Linked DNA regions of Bombyx mori. Each later gene encodes a partner of the first gene's protein in a complex. Links are inferred from orthologs where the notes say so. Each region holds a gene or a part of one and is shown in the gene's direction. Other genes may lie near its edges.

Evidence for each region. Proteins that work in one complex are often made in the same cells at the same time.
Region 2: mediator of RNA polymerase II transcription subunit 25 (region 1) and mediator of RNA polymerase II transcription subunit 31 share a complex: the UniProt entries of both Homo sapiens proteins name them as parts of the mediator complex. The link is inferred for Bombyx mori from reciprocal best matches to the Homo sapiens genes MED25 and MED31.
Region 3: mediator of RNA polymerase II transcription subunit 25 (region 1) and mediator of RNA polymerase II transcription subunit 19 share a complex: the UniProt entries of both Homo sapiens proteins name them as parts of the mediator complex. The link is inferred for Bombyx mori from reciprocal best matches to the Homo sapiens genes MED25 and MED19.

The regions. Positions count from the first base shown.
Region 1 is NC_085126.1:7,896,153-7,899,806, reverse strand, and holds part of mediator of RNA polymerase II transcription subunit 25, read left to right. Parts: intron 1-90; coding exon 91-184; intron 185-1,036; coding exon 1,037-1,158; intron 1,159-1,484; coding exon 1,485-1,721; intron 1,722-2,831; coding exon 2,832-2,960; intron 2,961-3,654. UniProt on the Homo sapiens protein: Component of the Mediator complex, a coactivator involved in the regulated transcription of nearly all RNA polymerase II-dependent genes.
Region 2 is NC_085122.1:5,746,417-5,750,858, reverse strand, and holds the start of mediator of RNA polymerase II transcription subunit 31, read left to right. Parts: upstream 1-1,566; 5' UTR 1,567-1,877; coding exon 1,878-1,893; intron 1,894-1,969; coding exon 1,970-2,059; intron 2,060-2,441; coding exon 2,442-2,611; intron 2,612-3,615; coding exon 3,616-3,762; 3' UTR 3,763-3,787; exon of another isoform or gene 3,788-4,442. UniProt on the Homo sapiens protein: Component of the Mediator complex, a coactivator involved in the regulated transcription of nearly all RNA polymerase II-dependent genes.
Region 3 is NC_085116.1:16,053,058-16,057,453, reverse strand, and holds the start of mediator of RNA polymerase II transcription subunit 19, read left to right. Parts: upstream 1-1,520; 5' UTR 1,521-2,045; coding exon 2,046-2,226; intron 2,227-2,312; coding exon 2,313-2,684; intron 2,685-3,205; coding exon 3,206-3,366; 3' UTR 3,367-4,396. UniProt on the Homo sapiens protein: Component of the Mediator complex, a coactivator involved in the regulated transcription of nearly all RNA polymerase II-dependent genes.

The DNA.
Region 1 (3,654 bases):
ATGGGCTCCAGTAACCACTTAACACCAGGTGGGCTGTGAGCTCGTCCACCCAACTAAGCAATAAAACAATAAAAACCATCTTTCGACCAGGTCATCCAACAGCAGAAGATAACGCAGCAGATAATCAACAAGCAGCATCCGGCGACGGTCAGCGCGGCCGCCGGACCGCCGCCCAGCATGCCAGGTTCGATGCCACCTTCTCTCTAGGGGCTTGGGTGGAACATGAGCATCCGCCCCATCAAGCGATCGGCTCGTAATGACGGTTATTGGTAACATTTAATGATTTTGCAACAGTATATAATCTATTGTTGCGCCAAAGCAGTCGCGCTTTCCAGTTTGAAGGTTGGTATAATTGTTATACCATTGACACTTGGACTTCACGTCTCGAGTTGGGTAGGCAATTATCCAGTGGTTATTTTTTTTATTTTTATTTTTTTTTCCTACTTAAGTTGATAGCCTTGAGAGGCTATTTCAGCGGAACCTTAACTAGTAGGTGAGCTCACGGGACTCAAACCTGACGACGTTGCTAACACGAACCCTAGCAGGAGCCGTGCTTCGCAGAATCTACCACCGGATCGGAAACGCGACCCACTGAGAAGATCCGGCGAGAAACTCAGTGGGCTGTGTCTGAGGGTAGTGGCTAGGTTGCATGTTCGCAATACACTGCGGGCTTCTAAAGCGGACAAAAAAAAATTAGAGAATTATTTTGGTTTGCAACTTGCTATGTATAAGAAAGACACCCGGTAGACCCGTATCTCACAAGTCACACTAGTGACTCGGCCACATTTACTGGTGCCGTATATATTCTCACTCCTCACGTATGAGTACCTCCACCCTGCATATCCTAGCCTCGCATTGCTTTTTTATTTTTTTATTTTTTATTGCTTAGATGGGTGGAGGAGCTCACGGCCCACCTGGTGTTAAGGGGTTACCGGAGCCCATAGACATATACAACGTCATTTTGTAGATAGATAGGAGGTACATTTGCGTGATGGAGGAGGTAGAGGTGGCGTGGACTAATGAGTGCGGTCCTTAGTTGCAGGTCAGATGTCGACTGCGGGCATGTCCTCGTCCGGGATGGGAGCGATGGGCAGCGTGCCGGCGCTGGGCCCCGCCAACAGCACCATAGTGTCGCAGCAGATGCAACAACACGCACAGGTATATATTTATATATATAGACTACATTGTTTTGTGTCAATGTATAGAGACATAACCAAATCATATAAGATTAAGATTAAGATAAGATTAACTATAGTATTTTCTTTGGTTTTTGCGAATCTTGGATATAATTAAAACTAGTTTTACGGTTTAAATTTTACGTTTTTTATTGTCATTATTTTATTTTTGACATATTGAATACTTGAATACTACGTAGTTTTCGTGGTCGCACAGACTATACATATAGATATCAGGCACGGATAAAAAATTGACGGCCCAAAAATTCGCAGTGGAACGTGTTTGAAATGTAATAATATTGTTTTGAGGGTATGATGATGGGCGGCGGGATGTCGGGCGGCGTTGTCGGCGGCAAGGGCCCGCGCTCCGTGACGCAGCTGGACGGGCTGGAGGCGGCCCGCCAACAGAACCTGGAGAAGATACAGCAGCTCCAGGAGACCTTGCAGGCCGCGCACCAGCAGGAGGCCCAGTTCAAGTCGCAGATGGACATCATGTCGCACCTGCACGCCGCCCAGCAACAAGAGCAGCACTATAAACAGCTAGAAGTAATCATATGCATTGCTATAGGAAAATTATTTTGTCGGTGCAGTTTGGGTCATAAAACATAACCCAGCTAGGGCAGTGAGCATGTTGCGCGGGCGCAACGCCATTATCGATAATAACAAATGAGTCATCGAAGGCAAGTACACGGCGGCGGGGTGGTATACGAAGGGTGATGAGACATTGTTATGTTATGAGTCATCTGTTGTACCTACCTGCAAATTATAGTACCATATGTCGAAGAGAAATATGTTTTTATGCATTCGTTCTCGGAATTTCTTTAGTGACACAATGGCTACTCCTTTGTTTTGTACCAAAATGGTAAAATTTATTCAAATCAATATTTGCACGTGTTGTTTTCAACAATGTGTTAAAAAATTTCACTGAAATGAAAATAGATCCCGAAAAGTTACAAAATGTTAATTTCTGCCGTTCTCGTTAAATTGCTGCGGCGATATGTGGTGTAAGTGTTCGATTAGTGATTTTTACTTTCATTTTTATCACTAACCCACAAAATGACAAAACTAAATACACTATCCATAACGATTATCGAAAACAATAATGCCTATCACTATGCCCGTCCATAAGGCTCGGGAGTGGAGAGCGGAATATTCGCTTCACCGCTCCGATTATTTATGACCCAAACTGCACGGACAAAATAATTCTACGATAGTTTAAATTTTTAATAGCTTCCAATTCATGGTCCTTTGAGTCGAATCATAATTTAGTTTATAATGAAAGTGTGAAACAAGTGAAGTGGATTAATTTGAATTTGAATGAAATGAAACGAAATAAAATGAAATTGTGGGAAATTAATTGAGACTTTAATGGAAGCTTTAATGGTTCAGCGATATTGTTTTTGTTTTCTTACACTCAAACAATCCGCAAATACTAAATAAATTATAAATTAATATAAGTCTTCATTATTGTATAGTAAAGAGAGGCTAATTAAAAAAAAAAACTAATCACATAACCTCAATTCTCTCGTTTCCGCCAAAAATGTGACTCACCTATGTTACTAATGAGGGTGATTATTAATATAAATATATACATATATATCGCGCTGAACTTACTCGTGTCTCGAATCGCTTTAGTTAGCTTAACTGACGTTACAGGAACAACAGCGCAAGCATCAACTACAGCAGCAGTTGCAGCAACAGTTGCGCGCGGCCGGCGCTCACCCGACGCGCATACTGCGGCCCATGCTGCCCACCAACCCGGGCCTCAAGCATCTGCTGCAGCAGGTAACGTGTGCTTTCACACTAATCGCCCGACCCGCAATGTAAAGCGAAAACGTCATGCGAGTTCATTGACTCGTCATGTTTTTGTTCGTAGTACATTGCGTGCGCGCGTATTTATAGCGTATATATGAATTCAACGATTCCTACATCGTCGTATAACATTAAACAAACTTATAATGATACAAATTTAACAAGTTTGCTTTTTTTTATTGCTTAGATGGGTGGACGAGCTCACAGCCCACCTGGTGTTAAGTGGTTACTGGAGCCCATAGACATCTACAACGTAAATGCGCCACCCACCTTGAGATATAGTTCTAAGGTCTCAGTATAGTTACAACGGCTGTCCCACCCTTCAAACCGAAACGCATTACTGCTTCACGGTAGAAATAGGCGGGGTGGTGGTACCTACCCGCGCGGACTCACAAGAGGTCCTATCACCAGTAATTACGCAAATTATAATTTTGCGGGTATCATTTTTATTACACGATGTTATTCCTTCACCGTGGAAGTCAATCGTGAACATTTGTTGAGTACGTATTTCATTAGAAAAATTGGTATCCGCCTGTGACCGGCCAGGTGGGCTGTGAGCTCGTCCACACATCTAAGCAATAAAAAAGGAAAAAATGGTACTTAACCCCGTCCTGTCTTCAATTACACTTGATAAGTTTTATTTGTAAAGGTGTGTCTTCACTGCGAC
Region 2 (4,442 bases), on another chromosome or scaffold:
TTTATATGATCATTCTTCCTTATATACTTCTTTAGTATCTCTCTCTGTTCCCCTTCCTACTAATATTTCTTTACTTCTTCGAGATTTTAATCCCCTTGTATATAGTATTTTAAGTAGGTTTATATTAAATAATAACATTAAACTATAATTTTGATTTATTTTCCCTGTTATATAATTATTCTGATTTTTTTTGTAAATTCAATTCGTTCTAAATCATTTATGTTTTGTTGCGATAAGTTTCCTTCGTTTTTTATTATTTATAAACTGTAAATAAATAAAACGGCGAATTATAAAAACGTTATTACTTGACGCTGGCTAATGCACAAAACGTGCCAGAGCCAAAAATAAAGAAGAAGAAGAAGAACTGCGTTTATACCATAGAGTTACTACTTATTAACTCCATGGTTTATACATATATTAAGTGTATAATCTATGGTTTATACTGTCTAATTATTTCATAAGTGGATCAAAAAAATATTGAAAACTTCAACAATAATTCAACAAAAAAATGTCGGTGAAGAGTGAAGACGGTCAATTAGTCGTTAAAGTACAATTAGCGTGGTTTTCAGTTCAGTTATTTTTAATGATACTATTCATTACCATGCAATAGGAGATAGTTAAGATACTTGTATTTTATAATAAAATTAATAATTCCTAAATTCATACTTAGTTCAAAAAATGTAAATATAATGCACACAAAATCTGTTTTTGTTGAAATGATAATTATTTATAAGTTCAAGAAATATATTGCAGGGACATTTAGTAGAAATTCATTTAATATAGAAGAATAAACTTAGTATATATACTTATACTCTATAAACAGGATTTTTTAAGAATAATTATATCTATTTGATATATATAATAATATTATAATAATGATATTAAGTATAAATGAAGCTGATTAATACGAAACATGGCATGAAATGAAATGAGATGAGATGATATGGAATGAAATATAATTTCAGTAAAATGGTGGTTATTTATTGAGACTTTTTCTGTGGACTTGTTGGAGGATCCCGAGAAGTTATGTTCAGCGGCTATATTTTATTTTCCCACATTTGTGCACTTTTACAGATATTAAACAGTTAATAAACCAGCTCTATTAAACATTTAAACCAGATTTTTTTTAAGGGATGTTATGACCTGTTAACTAAGACCTTTAAGTTATATTTTATTTTAATTTATATTCTTATTTTTATGAAAAATTATAATATGGAGTGAAATGAAATGAAGATGATTAATTTGAGAAATTAATCAACTGGGATGAAATTAAATGGAATGAGATAATATGGGATGAAATATAATCTCAGTAAAATGGTGATCATTTACTGTGGTTTGTTCAGTGGACTTTTTGGAGGAACCCATTTAAACTTGAAGAAACATTAAATAGACAAAATAAAACAAATCACACAACTTCACTCATCGCGTTCCCGCCAAAAAGTTTAGGTATAGTACCTTTAGGCCAAATATTAAGCCTAAGTAGGATGATGATCATAGTCATAGACTAACTTAATGTGTAGTGTAGTATTGCTCGTATATATTAAGTGTATAATCTATGTATATTAAGTGTATAATCTATGTAGTATTGTGTAGTTGTGTTACGTTGTGTAGGACTCGGAAAAAAATATATACACAAATTTATTTATGTGATTTAATTAATTTAAAAATTTTAAGAGCTTACTAAGTACTGTGTAACATTTTAGTAATGATAAAATCTTAAATATCACATATTTATATAAGGATAAAATGAACTGTCTTGTGTAACCTGAAAATATGTTATTATTTTGGTCATAGATTTGTTGAGACGTACACCACTGACCAACTTGTTTAATTTTGAATAATTTAAATACTCCAGCTGCATATATTTCGGGTTCAAAATGATGGCTGGAAAAGGTAAGAAAGAATGAAATAATTTTATTTAACAGTTTGTTATTTCATGATAAATTAATAATCTTTAATTTAATTGCAGTAATGCCAGAAACTGAAGAGCAGAATCGAATAAGATTTCAAGTGGAACTTGAATTTGTGCAGTGCTTAGCAAATCCAAATTACATTCACTGTAAGTTGCCTTTTTGGTTTTTGTTGTTAGACTTCACACTCACCTGGTATACAATGATTACTAGAGTACATAGACATCATAATGTAAATGTTGCCACTTGAACTTATGCAGGCTAATGCTGCTCACTGCATACATACACTTATGGAAACTTATAATGATAACTTAATGTGATGACTGATCTGAAGCTATCAAGTTGGTCATCAAATCATCACAAGAGGGAAATAAGTAATAAATTGTTAGGTATTTTTCATACCGGTTTAATGATTTTGTTATTGTGACTTAGTTTCTAATCGTCTATTTTGTGATTAAATGTTTTTCTGCCCAGTGTTTTTAAATGTTATGTGTAATGGATGTCAATTATGTCAACTCTGTCTATTTACAGTTTTGGCACAGCGAGGTTATCTTAAAGAACAAACTTTTGTAAACTATCTTAAATATTTGCAATATTGGAGAGAGCCAGAATATGCTAGATATTTGAAGTATCCCATGTGTTTGCATTTTTTGGAGTTATTACAACATGAAGCATTTAGAAGAGAATGTGTATCGGCACAAGTGAGTACAAATTGCACCTACTAAATTATTTTCCATATAATCTTTGCTTGAGCGGTAGATAATGCCATAGGTTTTAAGTCCGCTGATAAACATTCTTCTTCTTCTTCTCTGTCGTTTCCTCATTGCTGAGGGTCGTGACCACCTTGGTCCAGTTTTTGAAGTAGTGTTTATATGAAGGTTTGTTGTGGCCTGAAGGCTTATCGCTCAGGCTGACCTGACGCATTCATATCAAGCGATACAAAGGTGTTCAGATCCTGCAGGCAGGTTCCAATTATTATAATGAGATACATACTAAACAAATGTTCACTATTGACTTCCACAGTTAAGGAATAACACCATCTAGTAAAAGAATCAAACTTGCGAAATTATAATTTGTGTAGTTACTGGTTGTAGGATGTCTTGTGAGTCCGCAGGGGTAGGTACCTCTACCCTGCCTATTTCTACAGTGAAGTAGTAATGTGTTTCGGTTTGATGGGTGGGGCAGCCATTGTATTTTTTTTTGTTTAGGCATTTACTTTGTACATGTCTATGGGCTCAGGTAACAACTTAACACTACTTGGCCTTTTTTTTTTCTGATATAGTTTTATGATTTATAGGTTTCACAGTATGATGTTTATGGGCTTAAAACCAAAACAGAGCTTGACTTACAAATCAACAGTAAAAAAAATATGCAAATGAAATTGAGCTAGTTTGAATGTAAGAATATAAATTTGGTAATTGTTAATGACCACGTACAAGTTACTGCAAAAGTCATATTATTATAATTTATTGGCTTTTATTTACCACCTCATTAGTAGCTGTGCTTTATTCTTGTACTCTACCAAATATAAAATTTATGACTGTGCCAAACTGGCCCTTGACCAAATACCGCTTTTAATTTTATCCGATAGCAGTATAATTTGTATGTATTACAATTTTTAAATAAAGCCTGTGTTTAGATCACTCTGATGGATAGGTACTGTTCAAAATATCTTCATTAATGAATGATTAATATTTTCCTTAAGGTTTGCAAATTCATGGACGATCAAGCAATATTGCTATGGCAACATTATACTCGTCGGCGTACACGCACGTTACAACCGCCGGACGCACCGGCGCTTCCTGCGCCGCCCGCACCGCCACAACAAGGTCCACCAAGACAACAAACTTAGGATGTTCATGATTGTTGTTTTAGAAGTGAGTGGAAAATAAAATAAACTTTTTATAAATCTATACTTAATAAATAAATCTACAGTGGTTTTTATGGATGTTCCGTTATAACTACTGAACCATGCATCCGATTGACTTGAACTTGTTATCCATGTAGAAAATACATGTACATAATGGATAGGCTAATTATATGAGTGTTGGACTCCCTACACCAGTTGCGGGGGCGTTAATGATGTGAATCTTTGTGGGGGTGAGAAATAATAATGTTAATTTTAAATGCCCAGTGAAGCGGACGGGTACAGATAGTAGTGTATAATAATGTTAAAAAAATATTGGGCATGTCCTCTAGTAGGATGTCCCACCGGGGGACAAAGATCTCCCTCTAAATTATCTAAATGGGTGTTAATGAAACCTCTTTGTTATGTTATAAAAATAATTTGGCTGATATTAAAATATTTGTTCTGTGTAGTAGTAAAATATACGTAGTCTTACTCATAAAAAATATATTTAATTACTTGAAATGGGCACTGAACGTTTTTCAAAACGAATTTTATTTGATTGAACATAAACAAATCCTTTGTATAATAACCGGCAAACTTCTTGAGCATTTGTTGACGTAGTGGGGGTAAGTTTGCGCATGGTACACTCACGTGCAAAAACATTACTTACTCTGCGTCATAAT
Region 3 (4,396 bases), on another chromosome or scaffold:
TATTTATTCATTTTGTGTACAATAAAGAATACTCTATCTCACTCTCTCTCTCTCATCAAACATCTCTTTAAAAAAAAGCAATGATTTAATAAGAATTAAATGAAAAAGCAAAGAATTAATATGTATTTACAACTAGCTAGACGTCTATAAAATTTTCTAACCGAAAAAATATATGTGTATAAACCATTAGAATAGATAAAACCTTCAAAAACAACATTATTATTAAAAACGAAAGAAAAAATCTTGATATTATATTGCTTTCACGGCAAAAATTTTAGTGACTACTTAACTTGCTTGAAAGTGAAGAAATACTCTCAAAATCCATTAATTTGCAACTCGCACTCGCACATACAATAATCGAGAGGCTCACTTCGGTAAAGCTATTTGATACATGAGACAGCAACATAAACAAACCTTCTCTCTCCCACAAAATGAGATTCATAAGCTTACCACTAGGTGGCACTGATACAACCTCACACAAAATAAACATAACATTAACATCGACTGAGTAATTAAAAAAACTTGCACTAAGCACAGGTACATTACCCATTACCCGACTAATTATAAATATCGTTAGAAAGCTTGGCATTTCAATTAAACGCCTTAAAAAAAACCTTGCGTGCTACCAATATAAAAGAAAAAAATATCGCTTTTCAAAATGAATAAACGTCCTGCAAATCAAGTAACTCGCACTCAGAGCTCCGCACGTTTCACCGTGAAGAGCGTACACTCGATGCGAGTCATTCGATTCGATTTTTGAAACTCGCACTAAGCCTACGGACGTCTTATAGTTTAAGCCAGGACGACTTAAACAAAAAAAAAAGCCTAAGCATTTGTTTCAATAAGAATGTTTGATTTTTTTACTGCTTCAAAGTTTGAATGAGCTCATGCTTTCTTGTTTAGTGGATTTTTTAAAGATTGTATGACCTGTTACCGAGACCTTTTGTTGGACGGTTAAATTTGAGAGGACTGGGTTCTGTAGGTGAGGGGCTATTTAAAAACACTCTGCTTCATGGTTAATATATAACACCATTACAATATTTTATTTTATAAAACCCTAAGATGTTGCATAGTCCGTGTCTAGAAGAGAAGCCATTGTCCTCACTCAAGAGAAGACTCATCTGTTTTAAATATTTAAATAAGCATTTCAATATTCGAAAACTGTAACCTTACATGTGTCAAGTGTTACCTGCCATTACTTACATATTCAAACTCCAACACCATTGGACCAGTTTTAAAGTGTTTTCAAAGCTCATAGACATCACAATTCATTTTCCATACAAAATTATCACGGAAGCTCCAAGTGCTTATGTGTCAGAACTATAATAGACTATTTCAACTAATTCAAAACAAGTCTATTTTAATTAGACAGTTGCTATTTTAATTTGAGAATTGCTAGTATTTAATTTAAATATAAATTTCTTGAGAACCAACAAAACCATGTACCTATTGTTATGATTTTCTTTAAATAACAATATTAGAGTCTGTGGGAGTTACAAAGCTAGTGTTGCAACAGGACTTTTTGGCGGGAACGTGAGGAGTGAAGTTGTGTGATTTGTTTTATTTTGTCTATTTAGTGTTTCTTCGGGTTTAAATGTGTAATAATGGTGGTTTATTAAGTGTTTAATATCTGTGAAAGTGCGCAAATGTGGAAAAATGAAACAAAGCCGCTGGACGTAACTTCTCGGGATCCTCCAAAAAGTCCACTGAAAAAATCTTAGTAAATGACCACCATTTTACTGAGATTATATTTCATCCCATTTCATTTCATTTAATTTCATCCCGTTGATTAATATCTCAAATTAGTCGTCTTCATTATTTCACTCCATAATATTATTTTTCATAAAAATTGAATATAAATTAAAATAAGACATGACTTAAAGGTCTCAGTTCCCTTAAAAAAAAAGTGTTGCAACATTGTTCCTACTTTTATTTTTTAGAGTTGTCAAAAGCTTGGGAGTAGGGAAGGTCTTTTTAATTTTTTGTGATTTTGTTTAGAGTATTTAATTTATTTAAGTTCGTTTCGTAGATAATGGTCATCCAAGATGATGTCTGATCAGTTTAGGAAAGTAGAACCATATTCGCCAAAATCGTCGCCGAGGGGTGCGAGGTCACCAGTCGTCTCTCGCCAAGATTCTTCTGGTACACTCAAAACTACTATATCCTTAGGCAAAAACCCGTCTATAGTGCACAGCGGACCATTCTATTTGATGAAAGAACCCCCGGGTCAGTATCTCCAACTCTTTAACATTCTCTTCTCAAATTCTTAAATAATTATATTCAGGAAGTGACTTCGACGATTTCTTTTACAGGAGAATGTGAACTGACAGGCGCTACAAATTTAATGGCCTACTATGGACTTGTACATTCTTACAGTAAGTTTAATGGCAAAAAGCTGAAGGAATCCCTATCATCTTTCCTTCCGAACCTGCCGGGCATCGTTGACGGACCTGGGCAGGACGATAACAGTACTCTAAGTTCAGTTATAGCTAAGAGACCAATTGGTGGTAAAGAATTACTGCCATTAACTAGTGCTCAGTTGGCAGGTTTTCGATTACACCCTGGCCCACTTCCTGAGCAGTACAGATATGTGAGTGCAACACCACCAAAGCGACATAAAAGCAAACATAAGAAACATAAGCATAAAGATGGTGCACCTCCTGGGCAAGAGACACCTTTACAAGGTAAGAACTCAGAACTCAACAACATTGATTTAATAGATTTAGCTATGTCCCAAGCTTGTAGACAATATTACAAATTAGCCACCTGTAGATGCTATTTAGGTCTAGGTGAGTCTTCCAGGCACTTTGACTACATTAATCTAGTTAAGACAGTATTTGAATTGCAGTGTAATTGTACTCTGCATTTTACATTTTGTGGTACTAACCCGTGCGGGCTCAGAAGACACCCTATCAATTATTTTTAGTGAGTCTGTTTACAACACTGTCCTTCACTGTGGAAGTCAATTGTGAACATTTGTCAAGTACATATTTCATAAGGAAAAATGGTACTTATCTGCGGGATTCCAACACTAACACAGTCGCATCACTCAATATGAATGCACCAGGCGTCTTATTCTTTAGGCCACAATGATTTCATTTAACTTTAGATGTCAAGTGATACTTTTTAAATTGCTTTATAAGTTATATTATTTATACTCCATTTTTGTCTTGAGTTTTAATATAAAACATATCTATTATTCTAGATTCATCAAATCCAGACACATATGAGAAAAAGCATAAGAAGCAAAAACGTCATGACGATGAGAAAGAACGAAAGAAGAGAAAAAAAGAGAAAAAGAGAAAAAAGCAAAAACACAGCCCTGAGCATGGAGGCCTTACACCAAACCAACATCCATTACCGTAAATATAAGTGTACAAGTAGGTTTAAGTCGAATAATGAGCCCAAAGAGAGTATTGTACTAAAGATGACTAAAAATTAGTAATTCATTGTGTTCTAGTGATATTCCATTACTAGTGAAATGTACCTCTACACTTTGTTGTGCATATGACTAAATGTATGAACGGCACTCATTTGTTGAAACTACACGTGCTATCTATCATAAGTTGATTGTAATACGATGGAATGTTGTTAACATTTCATTAAAGTGGAAAGTTTTCCTCAATTGGTTGAATGGTATAATAACACAAGAAGAATAACATACAATTGGTTGTGGCCTAAAGGATAAGACGTCTGGTGCATTCGTGTTAAGCGATGCACTGGTGTTCGAATCCCAGGCAAGTACCAATTCTTTTAATGAAATACATACTTGACAAATGTTCACGATTGACATCCACAGTGAAGGAATAACATTGTAATAAAAGTCAAACCTGCAAAATTATAATTTGCGTCATTACTGGTGGTAGGACCTCTTGTGAGTCCGCATGAGTAGCTACTACCAGCCCGCCTATTTCTGCCGAAGTAATAAGTTTCGGTTTGAAGAATGGGGCAGCTGTTGTAACTATACTTGAGACCATTGCATTTATGTTACATCCACCCATCTAAGCAATAAAATAAAAAAAAGAGTAGATTTATCTGAATCTATATTTCTTCATTATTCAATGGGGTGTATATGTCCATAAAATGAAGAAAAAACGAAGTTTTTTATCACATTTTAAACCATAATAAGAAAAATGAGGTTTGCAAGACTTTTGTTTTTATGAAATACCTAAAATTGCTAGTCAGGCAATGTTTTAAACTTATAGCTAATTTATTATCTTTACTTCATAGTAATTACTTTTGATTCTGAACTTAAGATTTCTAGTAACTTCTACTTGGCTTTCAACAGGTTCGATTGCATGGTAGATTTAATAAGATTTTGTTATGCTAAGTTACCTAATAGAGTTAAAATGCCATGATGGCAAGCAACATTGTGTTAAGTTGACCACTTTGAAAG